Alligator mississippiensis: one gene and its partners. The protein of the gene in region 3 interacts with the protein of the main gene of each other region in a biochemical or structural test. Links are inferred from orthologs where the notes say so. Each region holds a gene or a part of one and is shown on either strand. Other genes may lie near its edges. The genes, in order: MOB1B, AMOT and LATS2.

Region 1 (7,827 bases), on a different chromosome or scaffold from region 3:
GTGAAACTAAATATATACAAAGTCACTATAAAACAAAGCAGTGGACCAATTTTTCTTTTCTTCTTAATTCAGTAACTTCTCTCAAGACAGTAATTTTAGACATTATATATAAACAGCAACAGACAGAATTTTCCCAAAATAAATGTGATTTCAAACTTGAAGATGTTCCTTGATTTCTTTCTTTGTACGTTGATAAGAATCAACCCAATACATTTTCTCCTGACAGCTAACTATCCCCTAACAATAAAATGGAAAAACCCTGTCCCTGATCAATAAAAACTAAAGATACTCTGAATTTCTCTGAGATCTTTGGCTTCCTGAATAATTAAGTCCTGTACGAATATCAGTGTTGGATTACTGGAAAAAACAGTCAGCAAGGGAAAAAATGTGGCTTCTGATACTGTGCTTCAGTGGCAAACTTGAGAATTACAGAAAAGTTTCTGAAGATACAACCTGTACTCATACGTAAGGTTGGTGCAACACCATATGGTACGGTTACTAAAAGCATTCATAACAAAACCACTTCAGATGAATACAGAAAAAAAACCCCACAAAACACATAACCAGTTGGAGAAAGACAACACAGGTACGACTGGAGTGCAGAGTGGGGGGAAAAACACCACAAAAACCTACACCTTTGCTCCTGAACAGTGATCAATTTTCTTTATAAAGTTGTATCTGTACAAAAGTGCATTTGCTTTGTGGCATAAAATGCAACACTGGGCTACTGAATACATAAAAATGTTCATGTTATATAACAGTTTGCATATCTTTACAGATAACCAAGATAATAAATAGTTAACAAGCAAGCAAACAAAAATGTAAATTTTGAGTAAAACAAACACTAACCTTTTAAGGTAATATTTAAGAGGAAAAAAAGGAAAAAAATATTTGCCAAATAATTGTTTCTAGATCGTACAATCTGAAAGATAACCCTCAAAATGTTAATAAGTTGGGTCTGCAGACTCAGTAGGTAGCACAACTCCAATAGCTTAGCCAAGCCCATATGAATGGGTATCAAGATCACAGATGCAGCAGGACAAGACAAAACACTCGAAGCTAGGGAAAAATAGCAGAATAGCAGAGACATGCTTTAGCTGACCCCAAAAGCCAGAAGGCTCTGGAAAAAGAAATGAAACCATAAACTAATTTTTCCCTCGCAGCAGCTAGAAGAGGGTGGAGCATCATGTTTTTCAGAAAGCAATTGGCCAAATGCTGAGATTTATGAAGTTCTAACGCTCAAACCAGAATTCAAGGACAACATCCTGATAAAAATCCTGTCACCCTCACATCTACCAGCAAACAAGGAGTATAGTGTAGCTAGGCATTGCTTTGGATCAGTGGTTCTCAGCCTTTTTTGTACCAGGATCCATTTGTAAACATTGATAGCCAGTCCTAGCCCAGTGCCCCTCACTCCCGACCCATTGCCCCTAGACTCGTAGTGCGTGGGGCACGAGGGAGTCCCAAGCAGCCCCTCGCAGGCTGGAACTCTGCCAGCCTGCAAGGGAAAAGCTGCGGTTCCCCACATTTTGCTCCTTTAAAGGAGAATCCATTTTTAAAGTTTGTTGATCCATTTTTTGAGTTTGCTCACAACCCTTTCATGTATTGTTGTGGCCTATTTTGGGATCATGACCTGCAGGTTGAGAAATGCTGTTATAACACTGATATCATTGGAGGCTTAAACATATGCTTAAATTTAAGCACAAATGAGTCTTGTTGGATCAAGCCCCATGTGGAGTTTAACTATATGGGGGTGGCTTTTTCAGCTGCCATTTTCCCCATTTTTCCCTGGAGGGTACCCTCTGATTAGTCACTAGGTCACTGAACCCATTTACATTAATTGTCTTAAGTACCTTGTCTCCACTCCCAAGGGGAGGGAACAAAGTTCATTTAGTTCCACTCGGGTCCACAAAGCTAAATAGCAAAACCATAAGTCTTGTGATCTGTCATTATTTCCTATGGAAGCTTTGTATATATTTCCAGTAAACAACAGCCTTCTTATTAGCAACATCCATCCAGCCTGAATCCTCTTACCCCCTTGGCTTTATTGTAGTATATACATCTCCTGCATACAGAGTATCCGAGCCCAGACTTCAGTTTTAATTCCTAATGTTTACTACAGCAAAATAAGCTACGTTCACACACACCAGCCTCTATGCCTCATATTAAAAACCCATAGAGGAAAGAAAACACGGTGTTGGTTCCAGTCGAGGAGAGGAGAAAAGGGTCTCATTGTCTGGTACCTACACATTGCCGTTCCACAAACTGGCTCATAAATGCATCATCCGTACAGCCCCCCAACTACACCGCATTTCCTCACAAAGCAGGTACCCGTCCCTCCGATTCGGAGCAGGCTTGGCAGAAACACCATTTGAGAAGCTCTCCCTCTCCTCTCCATTAACAGGGGCAAGGGTTTGTTCTCTGTCACCTTGAAGGCCCCGCGCATTCGAGGGATTTTTTATTGTTTTTTTTAGCAGCGCACTGTCAAGCTCAAGGAGCAAAGTGTGGCCGCGCGCTTCCCCAGGGCGCAGACGGCCGGTGCCGTGCCCTCCCCGTGCCCCGAGACGCATGCGGACGGCTGGGGTCGTGGGCCCCGAGGAGTCACAAACTTCCCCTTGCAGAGACCCAGCTTTCCTGTGCTGGGCTTGGGGGAAGCCCGGCCATGGGGAGGCGAGCACGGGCCGCGGCGAAGCTGCACAGAGGCGTCGGCGGCCCGCTCTGCCCGCGGCCGGGACCGGGGCCGGCTCGGCGCCCGGACACAAAGCGGGGCCGCGGCCGCATTGTCCGAGTCGGGCTCCTCACAGGCGGCCCCAGCGCCGCGGGCTGGCGGGGCGACTGCCCGGCACTACGGCTGTCCGAGGCCCACGCCTCAGGGGGCGGGCGGCGGACAGAGGCTGCAGCAGGACCGCACGGCAGCCCAGGGCCGGCCGCGACCATTTCCTGCCGGCTGGAGAGGAGGGGAGGGACAGGCCGGGGCTGCCCCCTGCGGGGTGGGCGCTACTCACAATAAGAAGCTCATGGCGATGGCGGCAGAGCGGGCCCGGCGGCTCCCAGCGGCGGCGCAGGGCGGCGTGTGGGGGCGCCGCGGGGGCGGGGCGGGGCGGGGCGCGGACACCGGCCGCCCGGGGCCGCCTCCAGCCCCGCCCCGCCCCGCCCCCACGTTGCCCGGCACCCGCTCCACACGGGCCCGGGCCGGGCACCGCCGCTGCTCTTCCGCAACGTGCCGCCGCCGGCCCTGCTCGCTTCTCACCTACTCCAGACACCTGCCATCTCCAGCCCCGAGCCTTTCCCAAGCCCTGAACGTCCCCGTCCTTGACTGATGCCATCTTGGCCGAGATCTGCCCAAAACACCGCGGGTCTCTCCACTAGCACTGCTTCCTTCCTCACCCGCCCAGCACCCGCACCCCAAAGCCTTCATTAGCCCCATGGGCTGCTGCTAGGGGCGGCGCATGCTCCCCCCCACGTTGGGCTGTCCCCCAACGCCAACACCGGCTTCTGTGGGTGCTCACGGTCCCCAACGCTGACACCAGTTTCTGCGGGTGCCCCCCCAGACTCGGGGCACCAGTCACCTCTCCCACCTAAAGCCCCATCTACTTTTTTTTCCGAGAAAAAGACCTCACTGCCTTCTTCTTGCCATCTCTGAACTGCGGCCAGTCCTCCCCAGCTCCGATGCCTGTAGCACCACCTGCCAGTGGGAAAGTCTAGTCACCTGGGCAGTAGATTGGGATCCTGAACACCTCAGTTTGGTTCTCAGCGCAGTCACAAGGTTTCCATTTATCCTTAGGCAAGTCACTGAATCCCTGTCTCCCAGCCTCTCCTCTGCTACGTGGATAGGGCTTGTCATCTCTGTATTTCACAGAAGTGGGATTCTGAAGCTAAGGTCCACGAATCAGAATCACAGAGAAGCAGGGCTGGAGGAGACCTCCAGGGATCAGCACGACCAACCCCTGCCTGAGGCAGGACCATTCCTATCTAAACCATCTGATGTAAATCCATTGGACAGCCTGTCCAAAACTGCACAGTCAACCCTGACAATACGAGACATAACATCCTAACCTGCCACAGGTAAAGCAGGAGGGCCGAGGCAGCCAAGGTCCTGCTTCTGTAAAGGTTAATATACACTCAAGAGATCCCAGGAAGAGGGTTGTGCCCCCTGCTACAGAGAAAAGCAACACTGCCCCCCCAGCCCACACCAAACTGACCCTGGAAAATTCCTTCCTGACCCCAAATATAGTGATTGCTCTGATCCTGAGCAATGGTGCAAAACTCTCCAGCCAGGATCCTCCAGGTTTAAGTCCCACCAGGAGCACTGGCACACCACAGTCAAAATCCCCAGCCTTGGCTGCAGCCAACACTCAGTACCCCTGAAGAAGGCTTAAAAAACCCTGACCGGGTGGGGGGCAAAATTCCCTCCCAGCCCCATGCAGCAACCAGCAAAATGATTGTGAGGCAACGGGACACTGTGGGGACAAGTGAGGATTCTTTACAACAAATGGACTTATTAACTTATTTTGAGGCCCCATTTCCCACTCCGCACTTTCCACAAGACATCCAAACACTTTCCCATTCAAACTCTTTACCATCTTCCCATAGGCCTTTCTTAAAACTCAGAGTCCCTTTAAACCTCAGTGCTACCTCAAACACCAAATCCTTCTCAAAATATCCTATCTCCAACAGCAAGGTCTCCCAATGCCCACTTCTCCTAACACCTCAGTTCAGATCGTGTGGACTGAGAACATTATCATAGGAAGTTCAGATAAGCCTCTGAAATTATCCCATGTCGGCTTGTTTAGACCCCAAGTGTAGGCCCCTTTGCTAGGCAACCTTCCTGTTTAATAGAGCAATGCACTAGAGCTGCTGGGTACATTTACACTTACGAGCAGTTGCAGGACAATCATGAAAAATACATAATGTTATACTGTAGCCTAGCTGTGCTCCCTCACTCCCAAAGGGAATTTAATAACACATTGATATCCTGGGAGCTAAGTTTGCAGGACATAGGAATGCATTATTTTTCCTCTATAGCACCAGGTACTTCAGAAATATTTATGATGCCTCATAGATTCCTTTATGAGATAAGTAAATAATATTATCTCCATTTTGCTGGTAGGGAAGCTATAGCACAGAAAGGTTGAGGTACTTGTTCAAAGGAATTCTGTGCATTTCTGCTCTACTACATTTATGATACTGTCTCCTTTTCTACATAAAGACATCAAAATGGCTTTAAAAAAATTAACCAAGCCAGCAAACCCAGGTTAGCAGGCAATCTTGAACCAAATCAGCAAAAGCCAGGAGCCAGTTAGGACCACACCTCTGAATTAAAGATAAGGGAGTTACAACATACTTCAGTTTGTGCAAACTGATTCCTGCCTTGAGGCTCTGGGCAAACTGCCAATACTGCCTTTACCTGACCCATGCCTTAATGATTTTTCCCCTAAAGAAGCACGGAGGGGGAGTGTGTTCCCCTATTTACAGGGGGTTTATGCGCACACACATGAGTATGTATGTATGTACATATGCATGTTTGTGTGCATGCGCACACATACGTGCGTGCGCGCGCACACACACACACACACACACACCCCTTTTCAAGTAATAAATGCAATCATAGTATTTGATTGCAAGAGGAACTAGATTGAATCATGGTTTCTTTAAAGAGAGCCACTCCTTTGAGATGCTAGATGGGAACTGAGGGTGCATAAAATATCTCAAGAGGTGCCCAGTAGCTCAAAAAATATAGATCAAAGCACTGAAGAATAGCATCAAGTTACATTTTGGATCTCTATGAAATATGTCTTGGGTCTCTCTCCCTTCTATAACAATTTGTCTAACTCAGGAATGAGGCTCCCATTGTCTTGTGGGTTTCTCACTCAGTTGCTGCATCTGTTCTAGTGTAAGCCAAAAAGTAAAAACATATGGAATGGTTTAGAATAAAATATTAATTGCATTAATGTAAAAAAGGAAGCAAAACAGTTCTATGGTGATATATCCAAGTGCTGGTTTACAGCAGAAAATGCAATATAAGGCTATAGAAATCATGTGAAATGTTATATCTGTGTAAGTGAATGACACAAAATTCCTGATGACTTCTTGGGGGCTCCAGTTGAGTCTAGAGTCCACACATATAAGACAAGGTGCAACTTTCCAGGTTGTTGTAAGGCAAGTTAGATATTGCTGAAAGATTTCAGAATTTAACTTAGAATGTTTAAGTTTGTATAGGATCCATTCTAGATTTTTCTGAACAGTTACAACCTTCTGTCTTCCTTCTGCATTCAAATGCTCAGATGGACTTTTTGTGTTCCAGGCTAAGTCCGAATATCTGTCTGGAGCATCTCTGAGCAACTGATAATTATGTTTTCAAATGCTGTATTTAAGACAAGTTGAACATATAAAAGTCTGTTGGGTGACTGGAGATAATCAGATACTGTTTCACATGATATTGTATTTTGTTCCCCTTTTGGGCACTGCTAGTAAAAACACATTATTAAATGTGGGATTCAGTATATTTTTGATAATTAATATCAAGATAATATGGTAGAATTGGTGGCTAGGTAAATGATGTTGTATACTTAAAAAAAGGTTACAAACTCCTTTACCAAATTCTGGTGTATTCATGTTTGACTAGGGGTTCTACCAAACGGCTGACCGAATTCATGGGCAGATCCTGGGTCCAGCTGCCATTTTCATGGGCTGAGCACAGCAGTCTCCCATCCCCGTCCCCCACCTGCCCACATCTCTGATTGGCCAAGGGGCCCTGCCAGTCCCGCTCCATCCCTCCCCACAGATTGCCAGATGGTTTGAAACTTGATGTAATTACCCTGATTAAGCCCAGGGAAGTCATTAATCCACACATTATTAAGCATAGATTAATGTTTTCCCAGGTTTAATCAGGGTAATTAAGGTTTCTGGCCATCACCAAGCTGGACTGTGGTCCGGGTCTGGGTCTGGGTCTGGTTGGTAGATGGAAAGCTGCAAGCGGCTGCACCAGGGTCTGCAGGGCCTCGGCATGGCTTGTTGCCACCAGCAGGTGCACGCGCACAATGAGCTATGCCAAGGCTCTGTGGACCCTGGTGCAGTCACTTGCAGCCTTCCAGATGCCTACCACAGCTGGCTCACAGCTTTGGTCCAGATGCTTGTGCAGCCTCGCCTCCCCATCCTCCACCCGTGCCCCCTGCTGTCTGCCTGACCTCCGGCCTGCCCCCTGCCCTCCACTGTCCTCCTTCCACCACCATGCTCCCCACCTTCCTTTCCTACTCCAAGACTGAAGGGCTTTTCACTCTCCTCTGCTTGCAGGTAAGTTGTTGGGGTTTTTTTGCAGCGAGCCTGCTGTTTTTCACAGAGCCCACCATTTTCTGTGGAGCCCATCTGAATTTGCAGTTTCTGTGGAAATCACACAATCATGAATTCAGTAGGTTCCTACTAATAACCTCCATCTCCTCCCCCCAAAAGTATTCTTTCATCTTAATTTCAGAAGCAAGCTAAATAAAAAAGCCTGTTACTGAAGCAGTCTGTAGGAAACATTTTGCTTTAAGTGTCATGAGAAATAATTGCATAACTTATATATTTCATGTCTTATGTTCTTATGTCTTATTGTTCTATTTGTACCAGGGAAGAGTCAGCAGGGATGCTTACACCAGATGCTGAGGATATGAGGGACTGGCAGCATACTGCAGTGTTATGTAAGTGTAGAACTATTTAGCTCTCAAGTAAAGGCAAGTTAAATCTAGCAGTGGCCTCACATCTGTCAGTTTGGGTTATCTGCTGTACCACATAACATAAAGAATTATTTTGAAAGGGTTCTAAAGCTGAAACGTGAAAAAATGCTTT
Region 2 (7,029 bases), on a different chromosome or scaffold from region 3:
CTCTGCTGGGATTGTTAACAAACTTTTCAGTTTGGTCCCCCACATGACAACTGGAGAGCTGGAAGTTGCTCCTAGTCTGATGAATGTAAAGTAGGGGTGCACTGATAGAGATTTTGGGGACCAATACTAATAGCCGATTTTTAAGGAGACATATTGACCAATACTGATCCGATTTCTGATACAGCTGCATGCAGCTGATAAGTCATTTGTGATGGATGGGGATGGAGGAGAGAAGGGACATGGGGTGGGGGGGAGGGCAGATCAAGGCCCCACAGTGAGGGAGGGAGTGGGGCAGGGGCTTGGGTAGGCACTACCCAGCCGGGGTGGGGTGGGGCACTGGACGGAGCCATGGCTCATCCGGGAGACACAGGGTAGGGGGTGGCTCCCACAGCTGCACGCACCCCAGAAAGGTATGGGGTCATGTGCCCCTGGATCTGTATGGGAGGGCTGCAGCTGTGGGCTGGGGCTACACCAGGCTCTTCCCAGCATGTGGTGGGAGGGTTGGGCCAGGGCTGCACTTGGGGTGGGTGGTGGCAACACTGGGAGGGAGTTATGGGGGGCTGCAGCCACCCCAAATTTCACTGTACCCCCCTCCCAGCACCACAGCTGCCCATCCTAAGCACAGCCTCGAGGACAGCCCCAAGCACAGCCTCCATGCACTGGGAGCACAGCCCCCACAAACCAGGAAGAGCCCGGTGCATCCCCCAGCCCACAGCTACAGCATACCTTGCCTCCCACCCCCGTGCAGAACCGGGGGCATACGCACTCCCCATGCCCTCCCAGGGTGCACACCACGGTGGGAGTCTCCTTCCTCCCTGCATCCCCCGGACAAGCTGCAGCTCCATCCCACACCCTGTCCCTGCTCCTGCCCCTGCCCCGCCCCACTCCCTCCCTCCATCACCGTTGGGGTGTTGATCTGCTTCTCCCCACACCCCTTCCCTCCCCTGTCCCCGTCCACCACAACAGACTTACCAGCTGCACACAGGTCTCCAAGCTGCCGGGCTGTACTCCTAGCTGCCTGCGTGCTGCTCTGCGACTGCATGCATGCACGGGCATTTACTGGCCACATTATTGGCTGCATCAGCCTGATTTCCAATACAATCCATTTTCTTTATATTGGTGCCAATCCAATATTAGATCAATGTATTGGTGCACCTCTAATGTAAAGGGCTTGTAAGGACTGAAGAAACCGAGCAGAATCTTGGTGTAGATGCTACAGGGTTTGAGGACTAGGATGACCTAACACCTTCCCAAAGACTCTGGAGGACTCAGGAAGAGGAAAGAAGGGCAGCTGCCTTCTCTGAAATACATTCCCTGTGGGGGTGGTGCAGGTATCTACCCTGGAGATCTTCAAAAGGAGACTGGAAGCTCACCTTGCTGAGTTATTTGACCCCAGCAGTTTGTCCTGCCTAGAGCAGGGGGTTGGACCTAATGATCTCACAAGGTCCCTTCCAGCCCTAAACTTCTGTGAATCTTTAGACTTGAGAGGGGAGGGAGAGAAAAGGATGCATCCTCCATCTGGACTGTGGGAGATGGAGGAAGAAAGGGGAGCTGCATAACCTCAGTATTGCTCAGTGCTTTAAGGCAAGACAACACTTTCTCCACTCTCCCATTCTTGTCCATGTACTGTAGAGTTCATGAATAGTCCACAGTCCTGCTGAGAGGCAGGGAAGGATTATCACCTCTGTAGAGATGAAAAACTAAGGAGGCACAGAGGAGAGGGAAGCAAATTGTCCTAGGTCACAAAAGGAATCTGTGACAAACCTGGTAGTGAACCCAGGTTACCAGGACCCTGATCCAGTGCCTCAGCCACTGAGCTATCCTCCCAGCCATGAACAACATGTGCCTCCTGAGGCTGGGGGAGCACGGCGACTGCCCACAGGCAGCAGTGGTGGTGTTGGCGGTGGTGTCAACGGCAGGTGCATGGCAGTGGCGAGTGGGGACCGCCTGCAGGTGGCTGTGGTGACATCGGTGGCAAGGGCGGGCCGAGCAAGGACCGTCCGCAGGTGGTTGTGGCAGTGTCGGTGGTGAGCGAGGGGGGCTGGTGAGCAGTGACCACCTGCAGATGCCAGCGGCAGTGTCAGCAGCGGCCAATCTCAGGAGGGGCGTGTGCCCCCCCTGTACCCTTCCTATGCATCACCTGTGCTCCCAGCCCATTTTTATCTCTGGCCTCTAGGCTGTGAGTGTGGAGGGTGAGCGGGCAAGAGGGACAGGGGTGCCTTTCTGTGGACACAGGGAGAGAAATATGGTGAGGGAAATATGGCTCTTCTCTGGCCACGTAGGCTGGGAAGGAGTGGGCGAGAGCCTGCATCCCTCTAGACTCTGGTGGCAGGGACAGAAAAGGAACCAAGTGGCAAGGCTCTCTCTGAAATGCAGGGGGTAAGAGGTGGGCAGGGCTGTGCAGGGGGGAGCAGGGAAGCACATATCTCTCTGGGGACCTGATGGAGGGGGAGGGCAGGGCAGGGCTGCTCTGTCTGGGGTGAGGAGGAGGGCACCGCACTCCCACTCCAGGTTCTGTGGGGAGGGGAGGAAACCAGCAGGGCTTTCTTCTCCCCATGGGAGGTAGCAGCACATTCCTGTCTCAGCAAAAGCTTTGGAGATTAAAGCCCGGGAAAGGGAGAAGGGGGAGGAGAATGACTGAGTGGCTGCATCCACCATCCCCAGCCCTCTCCCCTTGTGTGAGTGGACACAAAGTAGTTCAAAGGGCAGCAGCAGAGAGCCAGGCAGCGCCTTCTTCCTTCCCCCTGCGCTGCTGGGGGCTGCTCCCCGGCTGCACCTGCAGCCTCCCCCTGCCTCTGAGCCCGCAGCATGCCCCATGCATAACAAACCAGCAGTGCAATCAGCCCAGCAGGCAGGCAGAGGATGTCTGCCAAGGCAGCGGCTGGACAGAGCCAGGTACAGTGCAGCCAAGCATCAGGGAGACCCTCTCCTGCCCTCCGCACCCCACAGGGCAGTGCCCTGGCTCCTTACCCCATGGGCCCTTGCCCCAGCAGCATCCCATTCATCCATCTTGAGCCTCTTCCCCTGGAGGTGACAAAGGCAGCATAACAATGAGAGACACCGAGGAGCTCTGGGAACTGCCTACCCCAGATTCAGTTATTAACTTTCATCAGGCAGCTCCGACTAGGACTCCCAGAAGAGCTCGGTGCGAGCCTGCACCGCACGGCCTGCTGGGAACTGTAGTTCTCAGCTGCACCACAAGCTGTTTCCATCTCAGCCCTGGCTGTGCGGTGGGGCTCGGGGGTCCAGGCCAGGTCCTAATGGATCAAAAATGGGCCAGGTCCTAATGGGTTAAAAACAACCAGGTGCTGGGGTTTTTATGCACAAAGAGCAGCCTTATTACTTGGAATGATTTATGTCAGAGTAACAGAGAGGTCACCAAAGCACGGTGCATGAGACAATTGTTTAGGTCTTCCTGGGGAGCTGGCAACTCCCTTGGTGCTGGCTCTGCTCCTTTCCAGCTGTTACATCCATGTTAAGGACCAAGATTTTAAATGCCATCCTGTAACATCCCTATTCCCTGCAGTAGTTGCACCGGGGAATGGGAGGGGTGCTGGTGATGAGAAACTGCTGGTTAAAGCAAACCTCAGATGATGGACGTGTTTGAGGCGCTAAGGAGGGAAATAAAGTGAGAAATGGGAAAGGACAGTGTGAGCTCTCATGTCTGTCTACTCTATAACCTGCTGACTGGAATATGGCTGCTGCCACTGCAGTTTCCTAAAGGTGTAATGCAGGGCTAATGATATTTTAAGAACTGCACACTTCCCATATCACAGCCCCGGCAGATGACAATATTTGGCCTCTTTGATGGTGGACTCATCAGAGGACAGTAAGGACTGTACAGGTCAGGTTCTCACTTCTAAAGGTGCTTAACCAAGTCACGGGTGACCCGTGTGCACACAGTTGATGCAGTACTGATGTTACCCATGACTGGAGACAGGTACTTAGCCCTGTTAGTCTGAGGTCAGGCAGAAAGCCTTCTACTTGTGATCTTTCGTTGTTAGTGTGACATTGCTTTGCACGGTGCTTTATACACAGAGAGACATGCCCTACCGTTGGCAATGCGTAGGGGGTGCACACAAGTGCACATGCACCCCCTGACAGAAGCACAACTGACACTGCCAGCGGGGCCTGCGGGCGGTCACCGCTCACCACCCCCCACCTTGCCACCTACACCGCCGGTGGCATCTGCAGGTGGTCACTGCTGCCAACAGCGTCTGCAGGTGGTCACCGACCACTGTTCAGTGCTCGCCCTCCCCGCCTGGTCTGCTCCACTGCCAACACTGCCATGGCTGCCTGAGGGAGCTCCCCGCTTGTCACTGCTATGCCCCCGCTGCCGTCACTGCCGCCTGCAGGCAGTCGTCGTGCCCCCCCAACCTCCAGGGGCACATGCCTTTCATGTCAATAATCTAATATATTTATAAATATAAAAACATGGACATTTCTTTCCACTGTAATGGGCTGGACATTTCTAGAGAGACTCGGGGAGGAAGGTGCTGACACTTCTGCCCTGATGGAGTTTGGTTTGTACACTTAAATGGTTTTCATAGGTTTAGTTTTTCGTTGATGGTATAGCATAAATGAAAGAATTCACTCTAAGTTGGTGTGAACGCAGCACCGAAGGCTAAGACTAAAATAATACAGTAGCCTTTTCAAGACTTTTATTTTAAAATATTGGCTAACTCCCAACAGCAAGGACTGCAGTTCTTCCTCTTTATTTATTTTGTTTGGTGGTTTCTATTGTTAAATATAGGCTGCACAAAATACCTTCCACAGCTCGTGATCTTTTTTTGGCACCCCATACGTTAATACAGATCTTCTATAGGATTATTTATATAGAGTTATATGTATTTCATGTTTAATGGTACTGAGCTATCATTTCCTCCCAAGCATATTCTAAATAAATATAATTAAAACATAAAAGGATGATGATTCATATCTAAAGGAATGTCATCATGAAGTGTACAGGGGTCATCTAGAACTGATACAAATCCAGCAGAGTATAAGAGGTTGTCATCAAAGGGACCTAATCCAGGTATTTATAAATATGTAACTACATATTTATAGATATTTATAAATATCTAACTACAGTGATATCTATGTGCTAAAACACTAATAAGGCTTGCCAAAAGTTTCAAATGTCTGGGACCTCTTACCTACCAATGTAATTAAATGCTGATAATGAAGTGGATATCTTTCATGTTCTCATGTTGGACCATTTCTCTATTTTGTTCTTCGGTGAGGCTGCATGGGTATCTTTTCCTCTGTTGTAGGATGGCCTACATAGAAGAAGATCTCAAATCAAAATCTAGGCACAGCGAGGTTTCAGAACTCTCAGGAGAGTGAGTTTCACAGGCTTGAATACTATAGCAATTAGATAAGCTAGACAGATACAGAAACGTTTTAAATTGTGCTGAACAAACTTTAAGAATGAGATGACAAAATGCTCTCACACTAAAAATCATTGCTTATGGGTGTTCCAGCCACGCTGAAGTTTTGACTGATTTTTCGAGAGGTGGCTTTGATGAAGAAAAAATATGTTTTTAGTGTTTAATGGCCACACACTGACCTTTCACTGTAAATACCAAGAAGGCAGCCACATCAGAAATGTTTGTTGTTACTCCATGGGAATCCAGGACATAGAAGTGCAAGAGTGACACTCCAATGAATTGTGCTGTCATTAGGCCTCACTCACCCGGCAGACAAGAAAGACTTGGTATAAATCCTGGTGGGGTATTTGTTTTTATAGTATTAGATTTTCAAAATCCATCGTCTTTCTGTGGATCACAGACTTGCTCCTTTCTTTACCTCTGCAGTGCTGCTGTGGGAGGTCTGCATCCCAGCCTACAAAACATGAATAATAGCTAAAAGCAAGCCCAGCAAATGTCTACATGGCTCCTGCTTGGTCTGGGCACCTGGGAGATTGAGGACGAGGAAAAACATGGTAGTTTAATTATTTCAAATTTATTTATCATTCTTCTCCCTGGATTCAGTAGACAATTCTATTTATTTATTTAAAAATTCAATCTGAATGTATATTTTCCCTGCTGCCTAGTACAAAGCCCATTGTCAGTGTCACAGTCACCACCTGTGAAAGGATAGTAAGTCTTGGTGACTGGGTGATTCCTGGCCTCTGGCTGTGGAAAGGTTTAGCTCACTCCCTCCTCCAAGAGAGACTCCTCCTGCCCTTGCTTAGTCTTTCCTGCCATGACTTTGATGGAAAATTTATAGGCGGTGATGTCTGGTCTGAGAACAGTCAATCCTTGAGCAGGGACAGTACCAAGAATGATCCCAGTCTCGTGCAGCACTGTGTCCTTCAGGACCAGCCAACTGATCTTAAGGGCCAAATTTTGAGAGCTCCTCCAGCCCCCTACACTCCTGCCTCATACCTCTGGTGATTTAATTACTTTAAGTCCTATCTTCACCCAGCCTTGTTGCTGTAGGTGCCAGATTTAGTTCCTGGGATACCCAAGAGTCTGTCCCTTATAAGGATAATTAAAAGTAAGCAGTTCAGCTACTCCTCACCTGTCCAATGCTTGGCTCGCTTCAGTGTCTGTTCACTGCCTAGCCTTAGTTCCTGGGGCTTCTTGGGCTCTCCTGCCAGCTTTCTGCTCCGATCAGGTGTGATCTTGGCTGCACAGCTTAGGCTTCTGATCCCTATGGAGGAAACGACCAAGACTTGATCAGCTGACTCCCGGCTTGGGTGCAGAACTAGGTGAAGAGATCTGGCCCTTCCCTTTCTCTGGACGATGACTCACGTCAATGTGGATCTCTGGCTTCAGTCTCTCTCCCTGTGAGTCTTCCCAGTTCAACTGGGTCTGGGTGAGGTACTGACCCCAGCTATCCTGATTCCGCGCTGGTTTGAGCATGTCAGATGGGTCGCAAATTGGCTGGAGGGCCACACCCAGAGAGTGGTGGTGGATGGGTCTTTTTTGATCTGGAGGGATGTGGGAAGTGGGATCCCCCAGGGCTCGGTCCTCGGACCTGCGCTGTTCAACATCTTCATTAGTGACTTGGATGAGGGGGTGA
Region 3 (7,203 bases):
CAACATGGAGATACACTGGGTTCAATTCACTCCTGGCATGAGTCAGAGGTATAGCAGCCCAGTATTTTTTAGTCCAGTATCTTAGCTGATCTACCTTCTGCCTCATCTTCACACACATGCACCAGGTGGTGTTGCTGTGGATGGGCCTGGTTGGGCAGGCTCACCCAAATATGAACCTGTACAATGCCTGGTGCAAGTATAAATTCCTTGAGAGTTTTTCACTGTGCCAAGGAGAGCATTTAATGTATAAGGCAGGGTCATAATTTACAATATAAACGATTTGCTGTGATGTCAGAGAGCTGATGGCTGCCTATATGCCTTGCCTATGCGCCTTACGTTGGGACACACTTAAATTTCTGCTCCTAGCACAGCTGACATGTACATATTCCCCTCAAGCAGCAACAAGAGGCCTTATCTATTGCACAAAGTCCCCTGTCTGAGACAAAAGAAAGAAATACATAATAAATGCCCAGTAACAGGATTGTTCTCACTAACCTTATTTTCCTATTCATATTTCTGAGTGACTAATACTTGGGAATGGAGAATACAAGAGACTGAATTTATTCATAGTTCAAGCCTTATGAAAGCACCCTCTGAGCCAACTTCCTCTTACACTGCCACCCCATTGAAGCCAACCCTGACCTTTAGGGACCACCCTCTTCAGGAATGGAGGGTTATTCAGCCGGCATCCTGTCTCCGAGCTGGCCACCTCCCCTGAGCAGCAGACACTTTGCTGCAGCGGAACTCTGACCATTTGTTTCTGAGAATTTCTCCTGTTACTAAAGGAGTCAGCTGCAGGAGCCAAAGCAAAGATTCCTAAAGCTGGCCAGGAATGGGGTCCAATCTGCATGTTACAAGACACAGCCTCAAACTGTGAAACTCAAATTATGAATCTGATGAAACATAAGGCAGTGGGAATAGCAAGATGGCACCAGTGGAAACTGCTTCCTTCCTTAGATCACTTGCATATCATTTCACCTCAGCTGAGTATGCAGAGAAAAGAAAGAACTGGCTCCTCCTATTCTTTATTCAAGTCATAGTTTCATAGTTTCATAGTTGGTAGGGTTGGAAGGGACCTGAGCAGATCATCAAGTCCGACCCCCCGCCATGGCAGGAAAAAGTACTGGGGTCAAATGACCCCAGCAAGGTGTTCGTCTAACCTCCTCTTAAAGACCCTCAGGGTAGGAGCCAGCACCACTTAGCTTGGAAGTTGGTTCCAGATCCTAGCCGCCCTGACTGTGAAGTAGCGCCTCCTGATGTCTAGTCTGAATCTACCCTCTGCCAGCTTGTGACTGTTATTTCTAGTCACTCCTGGTAGTGCTCGGGGGAACAGGGACTCCCCTGATGCCTGCTGGTCCCCTCTGACTAGTTTGTAACAGGCCACTAGATCCCCTCTCAGCCTTCGCTTGTGGAGGCTGAACAGGTTCAGGTCCCTTAGCCTCTCCTTGTAGGGTCTGCCCTGCTGCCCCCTGATCATGTGAGTGGCACTCCTCTGGACCCTCTCAATGCTGTCCACATCCCTCCTGAAGTGCGGCACCCAGAACTGGATGCAGTAAGTACTCCAACTGCGGCCTGACCAGTGCCGCATAGAGGGGGAAGATCACTCTTCAAACCCCTTCAAAGTCAGTGGGAGCTGCAGGTGGGGCTGGCACGGCCAGATCTGGGAAACCTTATTTACAACCGGCTCCTATGTCTGCCATGCAATATAATTTGTCACTTTGCCGTGCAAGGAAACCCATAATGAACATCTCCCTCAAAACAACCCTTTCTTGCAGAGATCTATAGAATCATAGAAATGAAGGAACTTCAAGGGGTCATCTCATCCATCCCCCGGCTCTAATCCAGGATCAGATATACTTAGGCCAGCCTTGACAGATGTTTGTCTAATCTGTTCCTAAACCACCACAAAGATAGGGAAAACACAACATGTCCTGGCAACCAGTTCAGGTGCATCCATGTCTGAGGCTCTGACTCCCACTGGGAGTGGTGACCCCACAGCTCTCTCAAAGGAATTGCTATGCAGTTAATGATACAATGCTAGTGTCTCCACTCCCACACACCTCCCATGTACCACATGTAGAAATGGGATTCTGGCAGAGTGTTGGGGTGAGGGAACAAAAGCCAGCAACAAGGAAGAAAGAAAGAAAGAATTTCTTTACACCTAACTAAGCCCATTCATATATTTTGAGTTTCTTAGTCTTAGGATCTTTGATGCAATCTTCCATTATTATAGGGGAAGGAAGGTGAGGTTTTTTGCTGAAACTTTGCATTCTCTACATAAAACTGTTAAATTGTACTGAACTAATTTTTGACACTACATCCCACATTTCTGCCCATTTTGGAGTGTTCCCCCTCTGGCTCTTTCCAGCTTTGTTTTTTCTTTTCAGTATTATTCACTTAATTTAGTCTGGCTACTCCTGTAACAGCAAGTGACTTGCTTTGGGCAAAACAGTTTGTACACTAGATTTATTGTCTTCATGCTTAGATGTCCATCTTGTAATGTCTTCTGTATATGGGCCCATCCAAGCTTCTCACTCTCTTTTCTCCTCTTTACTTTAAGCTTAGTGTTTTGGAGGAAGTTGATCAAACTGAGCATTCTTGTGAATTTGCGCTTGGCTGCCAAGAATGCAAGTGATTCATCCCTCTGTAAGGAGAAGTGCTGGCAATAAAACCCTCCCGTTCCCCTTTTTTACATGCAAAATACGGTTACTGCTCCAAACAAGTAAATCTTTATACTCAGAACAAAGCGCGCTATTAATTGCATGACAACCAGAATTCTTAAAATACTTTCAAGATCTATTCTTAGAACAAGGAAATATTGTCACCAGAGGCTTGTAATTGATTAGATGTAAATTATAACTACTGGCACAACATATCAAAACGGTACCTCTGCTTCAGATCCCTGACATTTTTACCTTGTCAGCAGCAGGACCAAATTCCAGCAGTTTTTCTTTATGTCATGGAGAACTGAAGACTCTTCCAGGAAACAGCAGAATCTTTTTTGGGGGGTGTGGGGGGAGGGGAAGAGAGGGAAACATGTTATTTGCTTTAATTAGGAGAGAGCAACAGCTGAACTATCTGTTTAGTGCAAGAAATTATCCGGAGTGCAGAACTGGTTGTTGATAACCACGGCGTTAGCATGGCAGTACTGGTGCAGGCTTTAGCGCCACCTACCAAACTCCCAAAGGAATTCACTTCTCTGCAAAGGGCATTCCATTCCAGTGCAACACTTAGTAATATGCAAATTGCTCATCTGATCAACTTCCACATATATGTATCAGGAAATCCTAACATCCCACTCCATTGAATGATAGGCTTTCAAATATATCAGTTGGAGATGTTTGTATTTTGTCTTTGATTTAGCAGGGACATTTTCTCTTATTTGACAGATCCCATTAAGCAAGGCAGCATGGTATTGAATGCACATCATTATGGCTGTGACAACAAGGCTTGTTCATGAGTAATCCAAATTTTTGAGGGCTTGATTAAAGTATATTTGAATTAATCTTATTTTTGCAATGGGGGTTACAAAGCCTAAGCCAGTCCAATAAAGTTTTATTAAACCAAAGCTGTACCTGCTAAAGCCATCTGTAATAAAAGATTTCCTTTCAGCTTGTTTACAACAGTTTCCTGCAGATTGTTCTGCAATTGATTAATTTGTTTCTAAGATGCACAGCCTTTTACTTATGGGCAGCATGTGAAAAAGAGACCAGTGTACTTGTAAGGCAGTTTGAAATATCTCCATTTACTAGACATTTGCATCCACATCCAAACTTTCTAGATGAGATGTATTTGGAATCTGTTATTCCCCAGGATCCATATGAATAGCAGGTCAATTATGTTGGTCAGAAAGAACTTGCTTTAGATTTTATGTGAGTTTTACATTTGTTCACAAATGACCTGTATAATGCTGACATTGCACTGAAAGAGAATGAAGGGTGAAAACTACCCTCCCTGAAGTCAATGGCCAAACTTTGATTTTAATGGGCCAGAATGTACTGGATGCAAAACCCATTTGTGTGTGTCAAATTATAGTAGTTATCACTCAGTATGCCAGATAAAGAATTCCTTTTCAGTCAACAGCTGAAAAGATGCAATTCACTCTTTCAAAAAAACCAGCATCTAAGTTCCTACTTTCTCTTGCTCTATTTTATGATTCCAGGACATTTGGTTTTACTAGAACTATGCCTGTCACTTTTGTTAGGGTGATGTCCCCATTTCTATTGTGCAGTGCATCTTGAAGGAGGTGGGTTGTCATAAAAGAACTGTTATTTCATTTTGAGTTAAAACATCACATAATATAAATTCTCAGCACAAGGCATTTCCTTTCTTTAAGACAAAATAGTTAACAGGTATTGCAATATACATGGAGCAGCAGTTAGAAAATGTGGTTTTACATAGCATATTTTAACACTTCCCAGGTATTTTGTAACAGCTATTACATTGTGGGCCTAAATAGTGTGTATCTGTTGGCTGACATCACTCCACCTAACATCAGAAGAACAGTGGCCAGCAGGATAGAAAAATTGAGACAGTCTGAAGATGTAAGACACCCGCTGTACAACTATCCCACAGCACACAAGTGACTGAAGTCATACAGGAGCTTTCTTACCAGCACCCAACCTCTTGATGCCACACTCAAGGAGACATGACTATGGATATGAAACAAGAAGCTGAAAATATACCTGCAAGCGAAAAAATGGATATTCTGGTGTCTACATCTTTACCACCAGGGGCCGATGAGCCACGGCAAAGGTAGCAATGTCTCAACCGCCTACACAATGGAGTTGGACGCTCCAAGAAATGAATGAAGAAGTGGGGCTATACCATTAGTTCAACCACCTGTGACTGTGGCACAGAGCCTCAGACTATGCAACACCTGCTGCAGTGCCCACTGCTTGAAGGCACATGTACAATGTAAGATCTTGGAAAAAAAAGTATAATAAATTGAGCACAAGCATGTGGAACAAAATGGTCAAATGTGGTGTAGAGATATGAGAAGATTGTGGACATGTAATGACCTTGTAGGCAAAGTATAGTTATAGAGCAGACTTGCACATTGAGCCACAAAGGTTACAATGCTTGCCACATGAAAATGAATAATTTTAGGAACAGAGTTTTGCAAGTTCCTCACAATCTTTAAAAGCAAGAAAAGTAGAATGGCTCACATGACATCAATTTTTGTTATGTAGCATATTGCATTGTCTTCACATTCTTTAGGGTCTAGTGAATCACAGTATAACAGTACAATACTAAATAAAGCTGTGTATATGTCAATTATTATGGTTGTAGCTTGACAAGAGTAGGTGTATTTATCAGCAGTTTTAGTTGCAATAAGAAAGTTGGTGTGCAGTGCCATAAATGATAGTAGATTAAACCCTTGTCTAAAAACCTGCTGCCCTGGAGTAGCAACTAAGAGGAAAATGTCTGGTATGGTGTGTGTGGGACTAACCATGGCCCTATTGTTCTACATCAGAGTCACATGCACTTACACACTGAAAATGTGCAGTAATGTATCTGAGGCTGTACATGAAACTGAGGATGTACATGAAACTGGATACATGAAGGGGAATTCTCAGTTAAATCCTTAGAAACCAACTAGATAAGTATTGGGAGTAGTCCTCTTTTAATATAACTCTACCATGTGAGGAGAAAAAAATGGACCTTTCTGGGGAAGTCCTGAAGTAATGACGGGCCTGATTTTGTAGATCTTATTTATGTAAATAGTCCCTCTGCAGCATAAGGAGGACTCATCATTATCATTTTCAGTAGCTGATGATGACCACATTTCATCTTCTGACAAAAGCATTCAGAGATGCACTCTTGGGTGGCAAAATAAGATTTTTGTCTGCAACGTAGTCACAGACCAAATAGACAGTGGTGGATACTGCAGACTAGCAGGGCTGATCCTGAACCTGAAACTTTGGATTTTGCCGCTGCATTCTTGATGTGTCTATTCGTAGTCATTTCCAGCATCATGGACAACACTGCAACATATTCATAAGCCTTTTGTTCCCAGCTTCAGACATCAATACTGCCTTGACTGAAGGGTCATTTTAGAAGATCCTTTATCTTCTACAAATCGGACCACATCAACATCTACCACAGCACAGTGCTGCATAAAGCATTTCTTAATAAGCTAATTTAAAGATATCCTGATTATATGGCCAGACCATCTTGACTGTGCTTTTATAATCATGCCACCTGTGCTTCACATATTTGCTCACTCCAGTATTTGGAACTTTGTCCTGCCATCTTAATTTCATAATGTTTCTTGGACATGGGTGAGGAGACTTCTCAATAATTGCCACACTGATTGCTTTTCTTCATATGTGTGTGTGCATGGGCACATTTATATCGTCCAATGGCAGCACTGCTCTTTTTTCTTCTGTTTCTAAGATGATGGTACATTTGGTGGCAAGAATTTAACTGGTGAGAGATTGAGGTAGGCAACTTATTGATAGTCTTACTGGTCATGCTTAGTTCCTTGTTGGCAGATTTTTAAAGTGCCTAGGAAGTGTTAGTAAAACTCCATTGACTTCAGGCATGGGTGGTTCCAGGATTTCATGATGAGGAGTGTGGCATACCACATTTCAGATGGTGAGGGGATCGGAGTGAGGCATGGCTGGAGCACCTGGGCCAGTGGGGGACACTAGGGAGCCAGGCAGGGAGTAAAAATACAAAATTGGGACTCTCCTGCCAGCACTATTCCCAGCTGACCCGGGGGGGAGCCCCAGAATTGCTCAGGGTGGTGGACAGGGAGTCCCAGAACCCTGCCCAGGGTGGTGGGTGGGTTGGTATTGACCTGGAAGGACGTGGGCAGTGGGGTCCTGAAGGGCTCGGTCCTTGGACTGATACTCTTCAATGTATTCATCAGTGACTTGGACGAGGGAGTGAAGTGTACTCTGTCCAAGTTTGCAGATGATACAAAACTGTGTGGAGAAGTGGACACACCAGAGGGCAGGGAACAGCTACAGGCAGACCTGGACAGGTTGGACAAATGGGCAGAAAACAACAGAATGAGATTTAACAAGGAGAAATGCAAAGTTCTGCACCTAGGGAGGAAAAATGTCCAGCACACCTACTGCCTAGGGAATGACCTGCTTGGCAGCACGGAAGCAGAAAGGGATCTCAGAGTCCTAGTGGACTCCAAGATGAACATGAGTCGGCAGTGTGATGAAGTCATCAGCAAAGCTAATGGCA

What was found.
Region 1: the proteins of LATS2 (region 3) and MOB1B form a complex in vitro, tested with the Homo sapiens proteins (2 studies listed by BioGRID). The link is inferred for Alligator mississippiensis from reciprocal best matches to the Homo sapiens genes LATS2 and MOB1B.
Region 2: of the proteins of LATS2 (region 3) and AMOT, one has a biochemical effect on the other in vitro, tested with the Homo sapiens proteins (3 studies listed by BioGRID). The link is inferred for Alligator mississippiensis from reciprocal best matches to the Homo sapiens genes LATS2 and AMOT.

The regions. Positions count from the first base shown.
Region 1 is NC_081825.1:168,294,516-168,302,342, forward strand, and holds the start of MOB1B (MOB kinase activator 1B), read right to left. Parts: upstream 3,091-7,827; 5' UTR 3,020-3,090; coding exon 3,006-3,019; intron 1-3,005. UniProt on the Homo sapiens protein: Activator of LATS1/2 in the Hippo signaling pathway which plays a pivotal role in organ size control and tumor suppression by restricting proliferation and promoting apoptosis.
Region 2 is NC_081831.1:66,324,417-66,331,445, reverse strand, and holds the start of AMOT (angiomotin), read right to left. Parts: upstream 3,076-7,029; 5' UTR 2,971-3,075; intron 1-2,970.
Region 3 is NC_081824.1:433,394,248-433,401,450, reverse strand, and holds the start of LATS2 (serine/threonine-protein kinase LATS2), read right to left. Parts: upstream 3,040-7,203; 5' UTR 2,916-3,039; intron 1-2,915. UniProt on the Homo sapiens protein: Negative regulator of YAP1 in the Hippo signaling pathway that plays a pivotal role in organ size control and tumor suppression by restricting proliferation and promoting apoptosis.